Linked DNA regions of Drosophila melanogaster. The protein of the gene in region 2 purifies or fractionates together with the protein of the main gene of each other region. This does not show direct contact. Each region holds a gene or a part of one and is shown on either strand. Other genes may lie near its edges.

Evidence for each region. Proteins that work in one complex are often made in the same cells at the same time.
Region 1: the proteins of Spc105R (region 2) and Cenp-C purify together in Drosophila melanogaster (affinity purification with mass spectrometry; 3 studies listed by BioGRID, with this or other methods). This does not show direct contact.

The regions. Positions count from the first base shown.
Region 1 is NT_033777.3:8,562,138-8,565,890, forward strand, and holds the start of Cenp-C (centromeric protein-C), read left to right. Parts: upstream 1-1,967; 5' UTR 1,968-2,117; coding exon 2,118-2,119; intron 2,120-2,191; coding exon 2,192-2,699; intron 2,700-2,760; coding exon 2,761-3,753. Other genes in the region: mRpS18A (mitochondrial ribosomal protein S18A), read right to left, coding at 1-178, 275-371; CG31460 (uncharacterized protein), read left to right, coding at 746-749, 806-1,227.
Region 2 is NT_037436.4:20,798,403-20,802,155, forward strand, and holds the start of Spc105R (Spc105-related), read left to right. Parts: upstream 1-2,007; 5' UTR 2,008-2,076; coding exon 2,077-2,103; exon of another isoform or gene 2,104-2,140; coding exon of another isoform or gene 2,141-2,164; coding exon 2,165-2,268; intron 2,269-2,320; coding exon 2,321-3,066; intron 3,067-3,142; coding exon 3,143-3,753. Other genes in the region: tzn (tenzing norgay), read left to right, coding at 388-586, 741-1,588.

The DNA of each region.
Region 1 (3,753 bases), on a different chromosome or scaffold from region 2:
CCGTCGGAACGGACATACTGCGACAGGATTAGCACATCCGTGTGCTTGATGTCCAGGCCCAAGGTGCATTCCGGGCAAAACTTGGTCTGGCAGGCGGATTTAAGCATCAGGTGAGCACGCGGCGATTCCACATTAACGCCCTCGAAGATCTTTACACTGTTCTCCTGCTTCTCATGAACTGGAACAGGCATTGAACAGAAATTCGAATTAATTTTAAAGATGTGCATTTATTTGAGGGGTTATGAAACACTTCACAGAGGTCTCTGTAACTCACTCTCTTTTATTTGCCTTGGCATTGTGGTGGCTACGCCACGCACCTGAGCAATGGTACTTCGTACTGTCCTGGTGGCCAATTGCAACACAAAGGACATGTTGAAGGCGTTTTTTATTTACAATTTATTAAAATTGTGCTCAAGTGTAATGTTGTTACTACAAATGTCATTCACCACGAAAGCCGCAGCGTTGCCACATCAATTGATTTAAATATTACTTCTCAAAAAAAATTATCGATGTCAGTATTTAAATAACGATATCTGTTTTTATTTTTATTGCAAGCACAAATTTGTCATTCGAGAATTTTTCATGTAAATACGTAAAAAAAATAGAGAAAAATGCCTGCCTAACGAATAAAACTTTGTTTAGTCGTTACATACTGGAATATCCCTTGTATTATCAAATATCAGTTTCGATAGTTCGATAATTCACTACACGTATAAGAAAGACGCCGGCTGGAAGAAAAAGTAATATGTGTAAGCAAATGCAAGGAAATTACGGCCAACAAAAACTAAACTCTGAACCTTTGCAGCCGCTTCAGTGAGCAGTAAGAGCACCGTGGTATCCTCCATCATCTCGGGCCTCCTGAGCATTGTTTTGTTCGGCACACTGCGTTTCTGCTCAGAATGGTTTAACGACTCGCAGCTGAGGGTCCTTTTGGGCGGATACCTCTTCTCCTGGGTGTTCATCCTGAGCCTCACGTGCGTCTCCAACGCGGAGATGGTTGTTTTCGGCCAGGACTTCCAGGCCAAGCTGCTACCAGAGATTATTTTCTGTCTCTCACTCACGGTGGCCGCCGCGGGACTCGTGCATCGTGTCTGCGCCACCACCAGTGTTCTCTTTTCCCTGGTGGGGCTCTACTTCCTTAACAGGATCTCCACGAAGTATTACTCCGTTCAGGTGCCCAGCGTGGATGCTCCTACGACGAGAAAGGGCGGAAAGAAGTTCAAATGAACCATTCGTCTGCTTCTTATTTCATTACTAACACATTCGAATACCTAATCTTTAATAACCTTTAATAAATAACTAACTTATAAAGTCATGTCAATCGGTCACTTTGAAGCTATCCAAGCTCCATTATTACAGTTGGCCAGCCTTATACTACTGAGTATTGGTGCTGTGGAATAGGGGATCTTATTGGGAATTCATGAATTCAGTTAAAAAACTCCAATCTCTGGTTATATGGATATCGTAATCCTTTTCCAACAGAATCAAAACCTCGAACGCAAAGTCGTTTTCACAGCGTCTCTATTGCATGCCTTCTCGCAGAAAATGTATAGCTCCACTTTTTGGTTGCTTTTCAAAGCTGCTTCCAGTTGTTATAAAGTGAATTCGAACAAATAGATCAATCTGAAAAGTCGGTTTAGTTTGCTTTAAACATTTTGGATTTGTTTTGTCAACAAAAATTGCCGGCAAAGTGTGACCAGCTTGCGTTTTACGCGTTTAGTATATTTTAGTAATGAAATACTGCATATAATGGTTGCCTGCTGGTCAACGCTTTCGAGTATATTTTCAATAAAAACTTTTGAAATAAACTCAGCTGTATTTAACAATAACTGTTTAAAAACGATTGCATCATGCATTTGTAATTATACAGGGTGATGTCTTATTATTATCAAAGAAACTTTTAGATATTTATAGCTCTTTTCTGATAGTCTATTCGAGCGCTCTGGCAACACCCCACCTAGGCGCGCCTACAGACGTTACTGGCAACGCCAAATGAATAGCGTCGCGTCTTTTTTGTAGTTTAAAATTTTGTGGAGTTTTAGCGAAATAAGTTAAGTTTATTGTTGTCGTGTATGTAACTTCGTGAAGAATCCTTTTTTCAAGTTTCAATTGCAAATATGTAAGTTGCCACCGCGAGCATGCCATAGGCAAGAGAACATACAAACTCCGAGCTCACCCGTCTGTTTTTCAGGTCGAAGCCCCAGAACAACGACACTCTGGAGCTGGACGACATCCTAAGCCAGCCAGTGAAGGACAAGGAGCGCTTCGCCGCCTTTATGATGCGCAAGCTTGCCGAAAATAAGCCGGCACAGAATGACAATCTCTTTGGAAACTTCAAACTTGACTTTGACCTTGATTTCGAGGTTCCACTGATCAAGAAGTCTCAGGCTAAGCCCAAGTCCAAACTACCAGAAGTACAGCCCCTTGGGGAGTTGGTCAGCAAAAACAGTGCCGCCACCGAGAAAGTCAATGAGCCGCCTGTGGACCAGGCCCCCAATGAGAACGTGCCTCCGCGTCGATCGCCAACATTGTCGCCCAATAACCGACGTTCCATGCGCCGCAGTGGAAATGTACCCGGATCTGATAAACTACGTCGACATGCCATCCGCCGGCGGTCCAGGAGCTGTGGACGCCAATTGCTTCCAGAGTTTGAGGAGACCGTAAACTTGACCCGCAGCATATCAAGTCCTGTAAACTTCGTATGTTAAATACATGTCCCACAAATACCTAATCCTTGTACTAACAACAATGCTCTTTTAGTTACCAGAAATAAGCAGCACACCTTGCACAGAGAAACAAAAAGAGGAAGTTGCCAAAAATACAACAAGAGTGGAAACTGATAAACCAGCGGAAAAACCTATGGAACTATCACAAGAACCAGAGCCGGAAAATCCGCTGCAGACAAAGGTGACCTCACCTGCCAGGAACCCTATTCTTGCAGCTGAAATTGAACAAATCTGCAAAGAGCGACAGAGTTCCTTTCACAAGAATGTACTGCAGCTGGACTATTCTGGACGGGCACCGTACTCGCGACCCCCTACTCCGTCATCACCATCCGTTGCGGGCCTACGACGTACCTACACAATGGAAAAGGGCCCAGCTCCAGGCCAGCTGCTGCTATCGCCATCACATCGCTATGACACACCGAGCAAAATGCCAGTAGTTAAGGCAAAGCGGTTCAATCAGGAGTTAATGGTCCCGGACACGCCAGAGCGACAAAGTCACGACCCAGCCTGGCAATCAGAGCCCCAACCGGAGTTCGTAGTGCCGGAAACCCAGCCGCAGGATCTGGGAGAGTTGGTGCAGACTCTGTCGCGCAGCGCGATCAGCCCAATTGTGGTGATAAACACATCCAATTCGAATCGTAGTGTAAGAAGGGACGCTGTCGCAATGAAATCTGTTCCGACTTCGCCAGTTACGGCGTTATCTTCACCACCGATTGCGCCTTCTCCTAGGCGATCCGCCGCTGCCTCTCCCCAGAAATCCATTGCACAACTGCCGCGGGTGGAAGAAAATATGGATGCCATAATGACCGACGACGAAAGCGACGAACATCCCAGCACTGTGCCATTAAATCTAGCTCCTTCAGGTGGGAACACAACCCGGCAACGGCGTTTGCGCAGTAGTAATCGGGCTCGAGCTACAATCGAATCTCAGGAGAGCTCTATGCGCTTGCTTAACCTTCACAAGTCGGTCAATGCCAAAAAGTCAAAGCCGCGAAAGACTGCTATACCGCTGAATAAGGCTCCAAGT
Region 2 (3,753 bases):
TCTTTTTCGTACATATGATCTGAATTCAAGTTAGGCGTGCCAAAAAGTTAACTTATAAGCTTTTTACCACAGAAGAGAACATATACTCTTTGGCCTAGAGACAAGAATATATAATTTAATATAAAAATGTATTTTTATTATTATTGGCTTATGTCTGTGCTATAAAACTTTTCATTTCCGGTTTGAGCCACCACTACGTTTGCAGGTATGTTTCGGTATATTTCCGGTAGATGGTGTACCCGTCAGTGGTTTCCCTTACCGGCCCCCAAACGGTCACACTCGCCCGAGCATAGCAGATTTGGAGAAAAAAACAACTGTAATTAGGAGCCATAATTAATTCATTTCGAATCGCACACGCTTTTCAGTTTATCTAGCCGAAAGTACAGAATGTTGGCCTCCGCCTGGCGCAGCGTGGCCACCTCCGTGGAGACCCAGTTGACGGCCACCTACTTCCGAGGTTCGTCCAGCAATCCGACACTGCTCCTGCGTTCCTGGCGGACGATTCCTCGAGCGGATGCCCCTGGTTTCGGAGCGATTCGGCGGCGTTTTCTGGCTGTGCCCGTCATCTGTCCAAGTCTCGTCAAGCGTAATCTATCCGTACATACGTGTTTAATCTAATCTCTCCCGGTGCTGCAATTTCATTTCCCAGTATCTACGCTTTTTGTTCGTCCGTAGCTAGTCAGTCTGTTTATCTGTTGGCCATCTATGTAGCTAAATGTGAAACCATCGCTTCGTTTCAGTGCAAAAACTACGAAAAGTCGGCTTCAGAGGCATGCACAGCACATTGGAGGACGTGCAGCTGGAGGGCATGGAGATCAAGATCCTGCCGGCCCTGCAGGATAACTATATGTATCTGATTGTAGACACGAAGACGCGCGAGGCGGCCGTGGTGGATCCCGTGGAGCCGGAGCTGGTCATTAAGACGGTGCAGGAGCAGCAGCTGACCCTCAGCAAGGTGCTGACCACGCACCATCACTGGGACCACGCCGGTGGCAATGAAAAGCTGCTCAAGCTGTGGGAGAAGGAGCTGGACGTGTATGGCGGCGATGACCGCATCGGGGCATTGAACAAAAAGGTTCAGCAGGACGACACCTTCACCATTGGTGGTCTGCATGTCAAGTGCTTGTCCACGCCGTGCCACACTACCGGCCACATCTGCTACCACATCACCGCGCAGCAGGGCAGCGGCGAGGGAGCCGTCTTCACCGGCGACACCCTCTTCCAGGGCGGATGCGGCCGCTTCTTCGAGGGCACTCCCGAGGAAATGTACGAGGCGCTGTGCACAAAGCTCTCCGCCTTGCCGGACGCCACAAAGGTGTTCTGTGGCCACGAGTACACGCTGCAGAACATGAGCTTCGCCCGTCACGTCGAGCCCGACAACGAGGTCATCCAGCAGAGGATCGAGTGGGCCAAGCACCGGCGCGCCTCCCAGGATCCCACTGTGCCCTCCACCATTGGCGAGGAGAAGTCCTGGAACCCCTTTATGCGCGTTCACGAAGCCACCGTGCAGAAGCACGCTGGCGGAGCCACCGATCCCGTCGTCACCATGGGCAAGCTGCGCAAGGAAAAGGACACCTTCAAAGCCTGATCTATTTCCTCGAAAGTTTCGAAACTTGTGATTTAATATTGGATTTTAATGGTTAATAAAATTAACGATGTGTGTGAAGTGCGGACAATGGATTTTTAATTATTCGCAATTTATCGGATTAAAACTTTTTTTGTTTTATTCAAATTATGACATAAATTTATTTCTTCAGCTTTATTTAAAAGAATTTATTTTTGGTATTTTGGTCTAGCAACACCCTAGAGAAGAGGGTACTGGTTGATTCCAACTTTATTCATAGAGCAATGAACTTAACAAATTTTTTAAATCCAAAGATTTTAGCAAATTTCGTAAAATTTGAATCACAACGGTTTTGGTTAGGCGTTAGTGCCTTTTGGGCATATCAAAAATACTTTTGGTATTTCTAGCGATCTATCGCCAACGATCTGGCAACACCGTCTGCCATTAACACAAAAATCGCGGCGTCTCTCCAATGGGATTTTGAAATAAAAACAAGTTAACAGCACGGCGCGATGAACGCAAACAAACGCAGAAGTTCGGTGGGTTCTTCGAAAATTAATTGATTGAGAAGCGCTCATGGTAGACCTACTCTTCTTGCAGCTGCGTAAGGTGCCGACCAAGGAAGATGAGGCGACCACAACAACGTCCGCGATCAAACAACAAATCAAGCGACGCATCAGTTTCAGTGGCAAGAAGTCCGTGAGGTACGTACAGTAGATATATGCGATGTACAACGCTCACCCGCCCTCCACATAGGGAATTCGTAAACACCAAGGAGACCAACAACTGGGACGACTCGTACGAGGTGTCGGAACACCATGCTGAGGACAGCTCGGGATCGAAGTGCTGCAGCACAGGATCAGCATCAGTAGCGAGGGTTTCCGAACATGCCGACAAGGAGAACATTCCCCTGCCCAGCCACTGCGAGCGGGAACATGTCGATCTGTCCGTGAATCTGCAGGCCAGCGTGGATTTCACCCTGCTGCCCTGCGAAATGATGGACAAATCGAGGAAGACATCCTCAATCTCTGCTGTGTCCTTTTGCATGACCTCCGAGGAGCGAAAACTGTTGCAAAGCAGTCTCAGCGACCGCCAGCTGGTAGACAAGACCATGGATCTGATATCCGGATCTCTCGTCAACCGCCACCAAATCGCGTCGAGCGTTTGTGAGGAATCCTCCATCAAAGTGGCAACAAACAAACTGGAGAAGGTGGTATTCACGCCAGCTGTCAAGGCTGTGAGTGACTCCTTCATGGACATCACGCCATTGGGATTTACTGATCCCAATCCTGCTGCTCCCGCTCCAGCTCCAGTTGCAACTCTATATCCTCCAACTCAACAAAGTTTAATGGAGCTCGAAGAGGACAGCATTGTAAGGGAGATGCGTGAGTCCACCAAAAACCAGACAAAAACTCCGGCGCAGAAATCGCTTTTCATGGACGTGGGGGAGACCAAGAATAAAACCCAACAGGGAGCTGGAGGTGCATCCTTCTCATTAAATGGTTAGTATTATCTCAGTTAAATCCCTTCCCAATAGTTTCTAATTAGCAAGTTTTCGGTTGTCACATTATTTTGCAGTTTCCAATAACCGAGATCGTTCGCCATCGAACTCCTTTGAGAGCCTTAATAGCACCATGAACTTTACGAGAGATGAGTCGATGCTGATACCATTCGACATGATTTCGGGGAAAAACATAAGCAAGAAACTCAATTTTCGTCAACTCAACGAAGACCTGGAGACGGGTAAGATCCAGATATTTCCGAACGGGCCAAAAACGCCGACCACGGATCGTAAGGCCAAGAAAAATCGGTTTTGGTGCGGCCTTGAAGAGGAGAGCGCGGGAGATAATAGTCCAAAGAAAGATATAAGAAGCATAGTGCCACGAGGAATGTTAAATTTCAGTGAGAACATGACCTTGACGCCGACGAAAACAAGTCCAGTTGGAAAGAACAAGGAGAAACTAAAGGCGGCGGATGAGAAGCAGAAGTATCGACTATCCCAGGCGGATGAGATGATGCTTGACAATACAAACTTCTTGGCCCACGCCAGACTAGGCGACGAAACGCAGTCGAGAAATACGTCGAAGAACTCGACAAGAAGGGAGACAACTTGCGAAACCTCGGAACTGAATTTGGAATATCCTACGTTAAGTCAGGACTTTCAACCCATTCCGAGTTCCAAGACTCGT